2 linked regions of the Canis lupus familiaris genome follow. The protein of the gene in region 2 interacts with the protein of the main gene of each other region in a pairwise test. Links are inferred from orthologs where the notes say so. Each region holds a gene or a part of one and is shown on either strand. Other genes may lie near its edges. The genes, in order: TSSK2 and TSKS.

Region 1 (3,220 bases), on a different chromosome or scaffold from region 2:
CACTTAAGGCCAAGCGCTGGCCCCCCGAGTACGGGCTGGGGTGTAGGGTGGGCAGGAAGGGGTGGGTGAGCGGTCTGGGTTGGGGCTGTTCTGGCAATCAAAAGGGCACTCAAGGGGCTCAGGCCACTGATCTGAAAAGCAGGAATGGAGGGAGCAGAGTACGCAGAAAGAGGGGGGCCCGAGGGAGCAGGATCGGGTTGGGGGCAGGGTGAGCTGTGCTCTGCCCGAAACGTAGAGACCCGTGCGGCTGGCCAGCCTTGGGACACTGGGCCCCGGGCAGGTCCGAGGGAGACGGTGGGGGGGCCTGGCTGTGGGCTGCGGCTGAGGTCTTCTGGCCCACAGGGCCTCACCGTGAGTGTGCCTGCCCCCGAGCACCGGGCCCTGCACCTCTACGCTGGAGACCCCCGCGCCGCAGGGAGGGGGGTTGGCTGAGTCCTAGAGAAAAAGACTCCTCACGGGGCACTCTTGATGCTTGTATACACTTTGTGGTTTATTTGGTGGTCAGTAATTAACGTCTTTGCTACTAAGTGGAAGAAAGCTAATAGAACGTAATCAAAATAGTGGTTTAATTGACGGATTTTACTTGTTCCTTGCACCTGTGCCTTCTGCAGCTCCTACCTGTCTATTTAGTTTATGTGGGCGCACACCATGCACCGCGCCCCCCGGGCCCACAGCACCGCTAGGTGCTCGCTTTCCCCACCTCGGCTCCGGTGACGTGATGATCTTTGGCCTTGGAGGTCTCGGCCAGCCTGTCCTCCATCCTGTCCTCGTTCTCGGGCACCACCAACAGCCGGTGCTGGGTTTTGGCTCCCAGCTTGTGGTCGGGCCGGTGCTCGGGCCGCGAGCCTGGCCGGGTGTCCAGTTTGCACTCCGTCCGATACTTGCCCTCACCCTCCCTCTTGAAGGAGGCAGAAGACATGGCTTTGGGCTTGGGGGGCTGTAGCCATGAGTGGCTGAGGATCTCGTCGATGTGCAGCCGCCGGTTGACGTCGGGCTGTAGCATGCGGTAGATGAGGTCCTTGCACTCGCCCGTCAGGTTCTTGGAGCGGGGGAAGTCCACGCGGTGCTCCTTCTGGATGCGCAGCATCTTCTTGATGTCGGAGTCGTCGTAGGGCATGGAGCCACAGACCATGATGTAGAGGATCACGCCCAGGCTCCAGATGTCATACACCTTGGGCTGGTAGGGGATGCCCTGCAGCACCTCGGGGGCCGCGTACGCCGCCGACCCGCAGAAGGTCTTGCTGAGGATGATGCGGCCGCTGCCGTCCCGCAGGCAGCGCTTGGAGAAGCCGAAGTCGGACAGCTTGATGTTGAAGTCCTTGTCAAGGAGGAGGTTCTCGCACTTGAGATCTCGGTGGACGACGTCCAGGTCGTGGCAGTACTTGACGGCCGAGGACAGCTGGCGGAACATCTTACGCGCCACATCCTCGTGCAGCGCCCCCCGACACTTGATGAACTCGAGCAGGTCGCCCTGGACCCCGAGCTCCATGACGATGTAGATGCGCCCATCAGAGGTCTCAAAGATCTCATAGGTCTTGATGATGGAGCGGTGGTTGACAGTTGCCAGGATGTCCATCTCCCGAGGAAGGAATCTCTCCACGAAGTCAGTGGGCGTCTTCTTTCGGTCAATGATCTTGACCGCCACGTTGAACTTGAGGCGCTCAGAGTAGGCAGATTTGACTTTTGCGTACGAGCCCTTGCCAAGATTGATGCCCACGATGTAACCCTTCTTCCTTAGGACCGCGGCATCATCCATGGTGCCAGGAGCGGCTGGCGCCGCTGCGCTCTACATCCCCTCCCCACGTGGGCCAGCGGGCATTGTCCTCATTTACCCTGTGGGGAGCCGTCTGGCTGGGCTGGGCCTGGACTCGGAGGGGTGGAACGCTCAGCATTGTCTCCGCGTGACTTCAGCATGTGAAGTCATAAAGCCAGCCTGCCGGGAGTAGGGACTGAGCTGGGGGAAACGGGCCCCTGGAACCTTGGAAGCCAGGCTGGCCTGGTGGGAGTGCCCACTCCCCGCCCACTGGAAGGAAGCCGGCACCCAGGACTGCGGTAACCCTCCCTGCTCCTCCTCCTCCTCCTCCTCCTCCTCCTCCTCCTCCTCCTCCTCCTCCTCCTCCTCGCTGTGGCTTCCTGGTCTTGAGTCAGGCCCAAGGGAGGGCCCCCCAGGTCAGGCCAGAGTGCCAGCCCCATGCCTGTTTCTTTCTCCTGGCTGTGCGGGCTGACTCTGCATCAGTCCATGTCCCACTAGGGCCTATTTCCTACAGCTTCTTTGGGGTGTGAAGAAAACTCTCTCTAGGACTTGTGTCTTTGGAACTGGTGGTGCCTGGGAGGAATGGCCCTGGTCTGGCCAGGCTGGTGGCTCCACCCAGCCTTGTGAATGAGAGCAGTTTCTGTTCTGGGGTACAAGGCTGGGCAGAGGAGTGCCACTGTGGTAAGCGGGGCATGTGTGGGGTGGGAGGGCAGGCAGGGCCCTGTGCCCCCCACTGGCAGATGCGTGTTCCCAGGGCTGGGGCCTGCCTGGAGGATGGGCCAGGCCTCGGTCAGGTAGAGGAGGTGGTGAGGCATCCAGGCAGGGAAGAGCCTGGAAGAGGTGACGGCTTCTTCTGAGAATGGCTGTCTTACATCTGGAGGGAGGGTGGAGGAGAAGGGAAGGGTCTGGGGCCAGAAGAGCCATGACTCAAGTCACGTTTTAAGATGGTCCCTGGCAGGGTACATAGAGGATCGGTTTTGGGGTGAGTGGAGGCCAATGCCTTTGACTGGACAAGAGGAGGCTGGACCAAGGCAGGCCTATGGGTGATTGGGCGGCAGGAGACAGAGGGGCTGAGCGGTGGCCCATGAGGGGGCAGGACCTTGGGCGGAGCCTTGGTGCCAGGGCTTCTGGTAAGAGCAGGCACTGGGATGAGGAGGGGATCCTTGTGAGGAGCTGGGCAGGCTGATGGACTCCTGGCATTTGCGTCTCTCAAGCTGTCTTGCACCTGAAAGCAATGTGAAAACCCTTTTGTTTTTGCTTTGGGAAACGTGGCATCCTTTGTGTGTCTCCTTAGGTACTTTGGAAGGCTTGCTGCTCATTCGGTCTCCATGGCAGGCATCCCGTGCCCACATGTGGGCGTGCCATGTGCTCAGTGTTCAGCGGGTGGGGGGGGACCTCAGGAGGCCTGCCTCTATGTGGGTGGTCGGTAGGGGAAGTGACGGAGGAGACCGTGTACAGGTGGATGAG
Region 2 (3,916 bases):
GAGCCTGCTTCTCCCTCTGCCTGTGTCTCTGCCTCTCTCTCTCTCTCTCTCTCTCTCTCTCTCTGTGTGACTATCATAAATAAATAAAATTTTAAAAAAATGTTAAAAAAAAGAAATCTTGTCATTTCGATGATATGGATGGAACTAGAGGGTATTATGGTAAGCAAAGTAAATCAATCAGAGAAAGACAATTATCATATGATCTCACTCACATGTGGAGTTTAAGAAACAAAACAGAGGATCATAGGGGAAGAGAGGAACAAATAAGACAAAATCAGAGAGGGAGACAAACCGTAAGATACTCTTAATCACAGAAAAGAAAATGAGGATCATTGGAGAGGAGGTAGGTGGGGGATGGGGTACCTGGGTGATGGACATTAAGGAGGGCACGTGGTCTAGTGAACACTGTTATATGCAACTGATGAATCACTGATCTCTACCTCTGAAACCAACAATACATTATATGTTAATTTGAAAAAAATAAATAGGGATGCCTGGGTGGCTCAGTGGTGGAGCATCTGCCTTCAGCTCAAGGTTGAGCGTTTGCCTTTGGCTCAGGGTCCAGCGATCGAGTCCCACACTGGGTTCCCTGTAAGGAGCCTGCTTCTCCCTCTGCCTATGTCTCTGCCTCTCTTTCTCTGTGTCTCTCATGAATAAATAAATAAAATCTTTTATAAATAAATAAATAAATAAATAAATAAATAAATAAATAAACCCCTGCCCCTTTGCACTTGCTGTTCCAGCTAGCTAGAACACCATTCCTTGTCTTCTGCTTAGGGGAACACCTTCCTTATCTTCAAGATCCAGCTTATTTGTTGCCTTTTCCAGGAAGCATGGCCTTGGTCATGGCAAGCTGGGCCAAGACTACCATTTCCAGGGCTCCCACAGTAGCCTCTGCTGCCCCAATGAGTGCATCCAAGGTGCCCCCCAACTCCTAAGTCTGCCTCCACTACTTACAAGGTATGTGACCTTGGCCATGCTATCTAACCTTTCTTAGGCCTCAATAGCTTTATCTGTGAAATGGGGATAAGTAATAACAATAAGCAGCACTTACTCTGTGCTCACAGTTGGCTAATGTGCTAAACATTTTACATGCAGGAGCGCCACTTCATTGTCATGACAACCTTATGAAGTGGGTGTGGTTACATCCAGAACTCTGTCTTGCTATATTTCCCACTCCTACGCCAGTTCCTGGCAGATCATAGATGTTCAAGATATAGTTGTTGAAGGAACAAATGCAACCATTTCTATGTTACAGATGGGGAAACTGAGGCTCCCGGAACACAGAAAGTGGTCAGTAAATGCTAGTGAATCTGATTAGCATCATTACGACCATGATTATTTTCATGTCATTCTCAGAGTCCATGTCAAGCCCAGTTCAGGGAACCTGGCTGGGGTGGAGGTTGGCAGGGAAGTTAAAGGATCAAACTATCCATTCTATGCTCTAGCCAGGAATCCTTGAAATCCTCTTAGATCTTGCTCACCTCCTAGTTTTGCCTCAGATTCTTAGGGGATCCCCTTGGAGAACTCTTACTATACCATCAAAGTCCAAGTCCAACACTGCCTCGTCCAGGAAGCATTCCCTGATATTCCCTGCCTGGTTTGAGTGGCCCTTCTCTGGGATACCCAGTATTAGCTCCATTATGGAAATGTATCACTCCAGTCTGTCTCTGTCGCCCCCACCAGACTAGGAGCTCCCCATGCTCAGGAACCAGGCCTAACTCCCATCTGTGACTCCAGCCTCACCCAGGACATGTGGAAGTGAGTAGATGAACTAAAGACCAATTCTTAGGCAATGAGCATCATTCACCCAGGACGGAACTGAGTCACAGCTGGTCATTAGGGGTGGAGGAGGCAGTTCTGGGCCTCGAGGGTAACCAGAACCTTCCCATTCCAAGTCAAGAAGACCCCCCCACCAGCTCCATCCCAGCATTTGCCTAGCACCAGGGTGAAGACCCTCATCTTCCCCAGCTAGGGTCCCTCACCAGTATTTCCGTGATGTCTGGGTCATCTGAAGCCCAGGGTGGGGTGGGAGAGGCAGGGGGCACCGGCAGTGCAAGTGAGCCACTGTCTTCTGTGATTGAGTCTGTCCCTGAGGAGTCAGTGGGCTCCACAGCAGCCAGGTTGAGCAGTGACACATTGGTGCAGGCCGAGGACCGTTTGAGGTTCAGGCACCAGTGCATTGGCTCATGGGACATCCGAGGCTCCACCCTGGGGAGAAGAAACAGGGAGGGTGCTCAAGAGGCAGCCCTGGTGGGTATGGCCTCTTCTGCCTCCCTGTCTCCCCACCCCCTGCTCTCTTCCACTCCCACTTCACCACCCACTTTCTTCTTCCTTCCTCTGTCCCCGCTGCCTAATTTCTTCTGTCTTCTCCACCCCCACTGCCTACTTTCTTCTCCCTCCCTTTGTCCTCGCTCCTCTTCCTGAGTCTTCTCTTCCCCACTGACCTTTCCCTCCCTCCCTCCATCCCCACTACCGTCTTCCTCTCCACTTCCCACACTATGTCTCCTCTGCCACCACCCTCTTGTCTGCCCCTCCTCTGCCCCCTCCTCTTCTCCCCCTCCCCTTCCTCCAGCACCCACGGTGGGACTCGTGCTCTGTTGGAGGCAGTGCTGGGCGCTAGGACCGTCCCCGACAGGGTGCGACAAACCCACCCGTGGAACGACACGGCCTTCTTTTTCTTCGTGATCCCCTTGGCCGGGGTGGTCACCCCCCCAGGAGCCTCAGGGACCAGTTGGGCGCGGCTCTCGACCCCCGCAGGGGGGTCCCCAGCCTCATGGATCTCTTTGGACTGCCAGATTGTCTTCACCACCACGCTCGCCATGGTGTGTGGGTGGCCCTGCTCCCCGGGGCTCCTTCCTCTGAGACTCTCCACCTACTCTGATCACTAACCTTCAAAGTCCCTGACCCCCACCAGCCTGCCTCATAAAGGACCCAACCACTGGGCTCCAGTAAAGAGGGGGGGGGTGCATAGGAGTAGAGAAAGGCAACCAGCATGTTTTCCCAGGGTCTGCCATGAACACTTCCAGCTCTACCAGATATGTCCCTTCTGTTAGAACTGCAATGGATTTGTTCTGGAACTTACAATGGATGGGCCCCCTGGTTCTTGGGGGGCGTTCAACTTCCCTTCCCCTGAGCCTATGGGGTGACCCAGCCCCCTATTCATACTTGATTTTTCATGTAATACCTTAGACTTGGCACTTTCTGGGGTCTGGGAGACTGTGATGAGTGAGGATTGAGTCCCATTGCTGGAGGATCCAACATTTTGGGGTAGGGGGCAGCAGGCAGGCAACAGGCAGAAATAAACCAAAATACCAGATGTTGGTAAATGATATCAGGAGAATCAATATGAGGTGATGACCTGTGCTCATCAAAGCCCATCGATTTATGCACTTTGAGATGTGAGCCTTTTACTGCAAGTGGCCTTTGCCTATTAAAAAAAAAGGGGGGGGGAATCCCTGGGTGGCCCAGCGGTTTAGCGCCTGCCTTTGGCCCAGGGCGCAATCCTGGAGATCCCACGTCAGGCTCCCAGTGCATGGAGCCTGCTTTTCCCTCTGCCTGTGTCTCTGCCTCTCTCTCTCTCTCTCTCTCTCTCTCTCTCTCATAAATAAATAAAAATTAAAAAAAAAAGAAACTAAACTGACATTGAACTATAGTCAATGATAGACATTTTGAAGGGTTTGGGTTTGTAGTAGTTTCCTGGGGCTGCCATCACAAAGTCCCACAAACTGAGGTGACTCAAACAATAGACATTTATTGTCCCGGTTCTGGAAGCCAGGAGTCCAAGATCTAGGCATCTTCAGGATGGCTTTCTTCTGAGGCTGTGAGAGAGGGGTCTGTTCCTCACCCCTTGCTTCTGGTAGCTCAGGCATGACTAGGCTTATAGATGGTCATGTCCTCCTGTGTCTTCTTGTCC

What was found.
Region 1: the proteins of TSKS (region 2) and TSSK2 interact in binary tests that used the Homo sapiens proteins (3 or more experiments, as listed by UniProt). The link is inferred for Canis lupus familiaris from reciprocal best matches to the Homo sapiens genes TSKS and TSSK2.

Annotation. Positions count from the first base shown.
Region 1 is NC_049247.1:30,211,648-30,214,867, forward strand, and holds TSSK2 (testis-specific serine/threonine-protein kinase 2), read right to left. Parts: upstream 1,888-3,220; 5' UTR 1,757-1,887; coding exon 680-1,756; 3' UTR 549-679; downstream 1-548.
Region 2 is NC_049222.1:107,465,542-107,469,457, reverse strand, and holds the start of TSKS (testis-specific serine kinase substrate), read right to left. Parts: upstream 2,910-3,916; 5' UTR 2,825-2,909; coding exon 2,583-2,824; intron 2,212-2,582; coding exon 1,986-2,211; intron 1-1,985. UniProt on the Homo sapiens protein: May play a role in testicular physiology, most probably in the process of spermatogenesis or spermatid development.